Linked DNA regions of Arabidopsis thaliana. The protein of the gene in region 2 interacts with the protein of the main gene of each other region in a biochemical or structural test. Each region holds a gene or a part of one and is shown on either strand. Other genes may lie near its edges.

Region 1 (3,754 bases), on a different chromosome or scaffold from region 2:
AAAGACGAATAATCTCTCTACGTGAAGATAAGAGCCTTGTTGAGTCATAGCCAAGAAGGCACAAGAGACTAGACAATAGACGGTTCATTCATGAATCAGTGAAACGATACAGAAGAATAAATATTTCATTTCTCACACATTCTATAGGGTTATTCTGGATCTTAGTTTTTTTCCAGTACATGCAACAGAACGACTCAACTTCACAAGCAATATTAATCACAAGAGAAAAGAATGCATCTTATCATGCTGGGAGTGCGAAACTAGGTTGCTTCCACTGTGGCGGATCCATCACCAGGCAGGGATCTGATTTCTCAAAGTCAGCAACCTGTAAACAAATCAATCATATGAATGAAACAATCTTCCATACAGAGAAAAAAAAAACGCACACGAGTAGCAGGCATGAAGAAGACATATAAAAGTACCTTGTTCCCACACTGAGGGCAATGGTGCTGTTTGTTCCAGAGGCAATCCATTGAAGGGCAGAGAAAGCAGAAACCAAGCATAAACGGCATCATGCAAGCAACAACAGCAGCTACACCAGGTTTCGATCTGTTTCACATCCATAAAAAAAAATATATATCACAAACAAAGAAGATGTAAACCACAGGTTGTTACAATGAATATTTTCACATAAAACCACAGGTTATCACAAAGGAATAGTACAGTCTCATGCTCTTAAAATTGTTTCGGTAGAATGAAAAATGTAAGCCCTAAACATGAATGCCGAGAAACGAGAAAACGTAAAGCAGACTAACTTCATTAAAACCAATCACCGCCAGTATCAAAATAGAAGAGATACTGAAGTGAAGCACCATCTAAATAACTCCACTACTAAGGAAAAGATGTTGTTACCAACAGAAAGAGTCACAAAGCAGGTAGCTTTATCTTTGCAGCTTAAGTATATTTGTTGAGAAAGCTTAACAATAACAGGCTGGATCAATGGAGTTCTTTCAGCCTTCCTTTTAAGTGATTTAAGTTTTATAACAGCTTGTTCATATAGAAGTATCAAACATTCTATAGCTAATGAAACACACCAATCAAAATGAACAAGTTTGAGAATCCTGAAACCAAAAATCCAATACTCAAAACCTTAAACCACTGGCAATGATTAGAGGCGCTAATTTTTCTACTATATTGCTTCCAAGTATGAGATCAATTGACATGGATCCGAAATTGCCGATTGCACATTTCCTCGATGATTTCTTGTAATCGAGTCATAGAACGATTCGCGAACAATAAACTCTAAAATCGTATAAGTGAATATACCTGAGATTGGTGAGACCAGTGTTGCCGCAATAAAGGCAATTGAAAGGAGCAGGAGTGTCTCGATAAATCGTTTGCTGAATCGGAGCACCCAACGGATCACCATAGATAGCATTCGGCGGCACAATTCCGGCCTGATACGGATTCTGCCCCGCGTAATATGGAACTCCGATCACCGTTGTTCCCTCTTTCGCCATCTCCTTTGTTTTTAGTTTTTACGGTCAAACTCAACGATTTCGAAGATAAAGCAAATCAATCACAACGAGAGAAACAGACGAAGCTGATTCGAAGAGTATTTATTTAATTCCCTTTCCGCTATGAAAATTCCCAGGGAAATTACGCGGAAGACGATGGAGATTCAAGGAAAGTTCCAAATCTCTGACGATTACGCGTGTGTACTTAATTTGAGATTAATCGCAATTTTGATTTCAACGATTCTTTGATTCTTTCTTTCCTCTAGAAGATAGAGACTCCACACTTAATGGGCCTTTTGTTTATAAACTTAAATACTTAATACAGATATTGGGCTCAAAAGGCCTAATAATTGTCTTAGACCTGTTCGTTCTAGCTTTCGTCTAAATTGCAAGGTTCGTTTTTAAAAGTGAAGTTTGAGTTTGACGGTAACAAACAAGCGATGGACTACAAAAGAAGAACGTGTTGGACTACAAAAGAAGAACGTGTTGTTTAGGCCTCTTTGCCGACATAGCAGAGAGTCCATGTCACAATCACCTTATTTATTATCTTCTTCATTACTGTAATTACAAGAAGATTCAGCAAAATGTAATCATTGAATGACACAGAGACTTTTCTAAAATCTTGTATTTATCAAGAACATTCTAAAACCATTATGTGTTCTTATCTTATTGGTTAAGGATTAAACTAAATGTCAAAATTCAGCCTAAAATAGTCCAACTCTTAATCCCAAAGGTAACATCATCAAAACCGCGTTTTATATATGTATAATCCAATCTTATAAATTAAAAAACCAAGTTCAACACAATCCATCACATCCATTTCAATAGAAGACGAAGAACGTTTCAGAATCATCAACCAAATTCAGAAAATTTCAGCCATGACAGGATCACAAGAAGACCAACCTAAGATCATCATTGATCAAGAGCAACCCAAAACTCTAGAAACAGAGCACCAACCAGAACCTTCTTCATCGTCTCCGGATCAGAAGAAATGGGGTACTCACGTGATGGGAGCTCCGGCAGCTCCAGTTGCTCATCCCGATAACCAACAGGCGGCGGCGTGGGTCGCTGGAGATAACCAGCAGACGCAGTACCAACCGTACGTCATCTACTCTCCTGTCGAACATCCAACAACTAACAACCCTCTCGAGCCAGTCATCGGAATGTTCCATACCTGGAGTCGCAAGGCAGAAACCGTCGCACGTAACCTCTGGCACAATCGTAAGTCTCCTTCCACTTAATTGGAGCATTTGGACAAAGCAAGTTTGAGTCTTTGACGAATTTTGTTGGTTTTTTTTTTTTTTTTTGCAGTGAAGACAGGACCGTCTATGTCGGAAACGGCGTGGGGGAAGGTTAATTTGACGGCCAAAGCGATAACAAAAGGAGGATTCGAGTCGCTTTTCAGACAGATTTTCGGAACAGAGCCAAACGAGACGCTGAAGAAAACTTTCGCTTGTTATCTCTCGACGACGACAGGTCCTGTTGCTGGAACTGTCTATCTTTCGAATGCTCGTGTCGCTTTTTGTAGCGATCGTCCTCTGTACTTCACAGCACCTTCTGGTCAAGAATCTTGGAGCTACTACAGGGTAAGTAAAGTCTTGCTTTTGTAAAAGAATGAATTTGGAGATTGTTTTTAACGTAGGTCTAATGTTGTTTGGTGTTTGGTTTTGTGGCAGGTGGTTGTACCTTTGGCGAATGTAGCGACGGTGAATCCGGTGGTGGTGAAAGAGACTCCACCTGAGAAGTATATTCAGTTGACGACGGTGGATGGTCATGACTTCTGGTTCATGGGTTTTGTGAATTATGAGAAGGCTACGCATCATCTGCTGACCAGTGTCTCCGATTTTCAAACCGCACACGGCTCTGTGTCTGGTTAAAACTGTTAGAGTAAAATTCTTTTAGAGGTAATGGAGAAAGTGTTTAAGTGTTTTGAGAGAGTTTTTTAGGAAATAGAACTTTTATTACTTTGCTTTAAACTTTGAATACAACTTCACAACATTGCAACATTTGAGAGGGGGAGGAGGTATTTATAGCCTCCAAACTACAAAATATCTAAAATATTTTAATCCTAAGTCTAGAGAGTTCTTACATAAGATCTAGATTACATTATTCAAATTATCTAGATTATTCTATTAGAGTATCTAGATTATTCTATTAGAGTATCTAGATTTTTATGTTTAAGGAGGTGGAAGATGATTCTAGAAAATTTCTAGAATCTTTTAAGGAGGTGGAAATGATGATATTTCTAGAGAAAACTCTAGAACTTGGATTTGGCCATAATTAATTATTGGATAATT
Region 2 (3,754 bases):
TCCATAAGAATATACAGAACTATTACAAATTCATAATTTGATAACTCACAGTTGATGTAGAGGGGGGACAAGCTGTTCCATTTGGCCGGTTAGTTGGGAGAGGTACCCTTCCATTGCTCATCTAAGGATGCAAAATGAATCAGAAATGAAAATTTCCAACAGAAAGATCTCTATACTTAACTCAACCATGCAGAGGTGGCTTAATAGATAGGAATAATCACATTAACGTTAGTTACGAATTGACAAACAGCGCATTTGACGGATGATGCACCGTAAGGATACATGAGGGTCGTCCGACAATGCCCACAATTGATCTGCGCAACCTGACTGGAAGGAGCATGGGCAACCTGATTGGAGTGCGCTGTCGATTTCAAAAAAGACACGCACAGATTCAGAAAACAAGCAATGTTAATGCTAGAAAAATCCAAGAAATACTAATGAACGAAGTAATCAGCAATGTTCTTAAGCAGTCATGGATAAATGATAATCATACAGCTAAATGACAACAGCTTAGACGCTAATTAAAGATAAGAATCTAATGGTAGATCAAACAAAACAATAATAAACCCTACTAGCTCTAACAAGTAGTTACCTAGTCCACCGGGACCATCTAAAAGCTTTGTTTTAAGTACTTTCAGCTGCTTTACAAATCCCAGATATTTTCAGAATTCAGATTCATATACATCTTTGGGAAAAGTGGAAATACGTTACGTAAGCATCATCTCCACAGAACAATGTTATCAAACAAAAGTGTGAAAGAAGATTCTAAAGGACTAAAAGACCTTATAAAGCAATATAATACATGGTCTTTAAAAGGATTGATATGGATGTCACGATATTATTAATATACCTGGCACAAGGTTCGTAGTTTGACAGCAAGAGCATCTTACGCTACTAGCCCCACGCGTATACATAAGCATTGTTCTACAACCACCACATATAATGTGTGCCATGTCTGTATTCAGAATCAGAACCCAAGTTATAATACAATTGCAGAGCATATTAACCTCATCCTCAATTCAAATTCAACAAAGAAATCGATACCGTGAGGTGGAGGAGGAGGAGGAACCATGTTGATAGTGTTACATAACGCACAACGCACATTAGATGCTCCTCTAGGATACATCAATAAATTCCTACAACCATGACACACCAGCTGGTCCTGCATATCTGCTACTTTCATCCAAACACACACAAATTGCTTCAAAACAAGACCCACACAGATGAAACCCTAAACATTTCACAATACTTAGTCATTGCAAGGAAGCAATTGGAGATTCAAATACCTAAAAACTCACCTGATTAACAAAAAGAGCTGATTTTGGAACGAAACCCAAATCCAATTCAAAGCCAAAAACTTCTGCATCCAAATCAAAACAAGAATTGTGTGTTGAATCAAACAAACAAACAAGGACAATGATGAGATTACAGAATTGGCGAAAATTGAAAAAAAGGAACAAACTTTGGAGCTTGTTCTTACCGATTGGAGAAGGGTAAGGAATCGAATCCAAAACCCGCGAAAGCTAGAGCGATGATATGCAGAAAATCCAATCCAAATTGAGGAGATAGACAATAGATTTCGATTTTTCTCTCTCTCTATCTCCAAAATCTCAATGCCCGGATTTATCTCTCTGTTTTTCGTAATTTACGCTTCTTTTTTTTTTACATGACGCGTAAGGGTTTTTTTCTCGGTCATAAACGCGTATATACAAACGCAGCGATTGGCTTCTGCTAATTAAATATGAATTTTTATGCCAAGCATACGTCCATAGATCAATTAATTATGGGTAAAAATATATTTTCTAATTTTCTGCAAATGGTGTAATAATATTAAATTATTTTTTGTCTACCCCTTTGAACCAATGAAAATTCTATAATATTTGTGTGTTAAATGAAAAATCGTACATGCTGCCAAACAAAAAATTCATAATAAATAAATGAAAATCGCATATAAACTTTAATCAAATGTTCTGAACATAACGTCCCACGTATGTTTTCGTTTGCTTATTCATATCGGAAGAAGAGTAATTTGCGCATTTCATATTACAAATTGGGGAAATGGACAATAAATTGGAGAGCAAAAATCATAGCCATCTAACCTCACACACTTTTCTTTTTGTTAGGTACCAGAAATATCAAGAATCACTGAGCTAATTGTATTCTCATGACTTTTTGTGGTCAGCAAATGAAACTGGTCTGCAATAGTTTTTAGAAGTCTTTATCGGTTTATTTCTCATGTGTTTTGTCAGAAATTTCTTAGAAATTTTTGTCTTCCAAACTTGGGGAACTAAATTTGTTTGGAGTGTAAGAATACACGGTTGAGCTTTTAGGTAATACACTTGTTTTTGAAAGGTATAATGAATTTTAAAAAAATTACTTTATCAACATTTAAGATTTGGAGACAATTTTGAAATCACGTTTGAAAACGAATTTTTTGGCCAATTGTTCACTTTTCTGTCGTTATTATACTTCTGTTACCTTGTGTCTATTTGTTAATTTACTTGTTTTATTTGATTTACTCCATTGTTTTAAAAGTTTTACTGGTTTGTTTTGTTAAATTGATATTTTTGATGGTATTAATTAAGTTTAGTACTACATTAAGAAAAGAAAAAAAAGAGTCTAGTACGTATGTACACACCAACCAGATATGTGAACAATTATGGCGTCAATTTATCTGGAGCATATATACTTTTATATGATGGTTTAGGTTGAAGGAGTTATTCTAAAATGCATTAACATCATACATAATCGGTGTAATGTAGTGTCCTTAACTATTTAAATGAGTGACATGTGACGCAAAATGCGTGACGTACGCAAATATGCAGCATATTATATGCTTGTGACATTATTTTAAATAGTTCATGAAGTTACAATGATAAGTCAGAATAAATTACATACTAGTGGCTAGCAAGAAACAAGTGGATGATGTATAATTTGGAATATGATTATTTCTGTTTTATACTGGTGGGTTTTGGAATAAGAATACTATAAATTTAGAAAAAAGGAAAGAAAAAAAAAACATGAATTATAAGTGATATACGTACGTTGAACGAGTTGTAGATTCTCGAAACTATACACGAAAAGACCCTGGTAATGATTTCATTGGAGAGAATAAAGCTAAATAGCTAATTATTGCAATTCCCAAAACGTTATATAAAGAATAGCAAGTAAGGGTTCATAAGGTAAGAAGCAAAACATTTGATTGAGATACTTGAGATCCAAGATAAATATGTCTTTAAGTCGTAGAGATCCTCTTGTGGTCGGCAGTGTTGTTGGAGATGTTCTTGATCCTTTCACGAGGTTGGTCTCTCTTAAGGTCACTTATGGCCATAGAGAGGTTACTAATGGCTTGGATCTAAGGCCTTCTCAAGTTCTGAACAAACCAATAGTGGAGATTGGAGGAGACGACTTCAGAAATTTCTACACCTTGGTGATCTTCTCTCCTTCATTCCTCTTATCTTCATTGATTTAGTTCCTCGTAGCTCACTCTTTCGTTTTCGTAAGCTCCATATATTGACGAAGAAACCTTAGATATATCCAAATTTAAGCGTAACTAGATTTGATCATTCTTTTCTTTCGTAGCCTCATCTATATACCTGCTGCGTTTCCTCTAACTTCTTGCATGCATAACTGTTATTGGTTTGATTATTATTTTAAATCAATTTTGAATCTTTCTCGATTATATATATTACGTTTTCAAGAGACGGTTAACTTGATTTTGTTTCGCTTTTATTTTTATTTTAGTTTTTTTATT

What was found.
Region 1: the proteins of LSD1 (region 2) and GILP form a complex in vitro, tested with the Arabidopsis thaliana proteins (one study listed by BioGRID).

Annotation. Positions count from the first base shown.
Region 1 is NC_003076.8:4,204,746-4,208,499, forward strand, and holds the start of GILP (GSH-induced LITAF domain protein), read right to left. Parts: upstream 1,714-3,754; 5' UTR 1,461-1,713; coding exon 1,267-1,460; intron 550-1,266; coding exon 318-549; coding exon of another isoform or gene 242-317; 3' UTR 1-241. Other genes in the region: AT5G13200 (GRAM domain family protein), read left to right, coding at 2,336-2,678, 2,769-3,043, 3,134-3,334. UniProt on the Arabidopsis thaliana protein: Acts as a membrane anchor, bringing other regulators of programmed cell death (PCD) to the plasma membrane. Negatively regulates hypersensitive cell death.
Region 2 is NC_003075.7:11,002,441-11,006,194, reverse strand, and holds the start of LSD1 (LSD1 zinc finger family protein), read right to left. Parts: upstream 1,679-3,754; 5' UTR 1,481-1,678; intron 1,361-1,480; 5' UTR 1,299-1,360; exon of another isoform or gene 1,184-1,298; coding exon of another isoform or gene 1,169-1,183; coding exon 1,045-1,168; intron 956-1,044; coding exon 851-955; intron 766-850; coding exon 734-765; intron 639-733; coding exon 593-638; intron 362-592; coding exon 222-361; coding exon of another isoform or gene 201-221; exon of another isoform or gene 122-200; coding exon 50-121; intron 1-49. Other genes in the region: TSF (PEBP (phosphatidylethanolamine-binding protein) family protein), read left to right, coding at 3,230-3,430.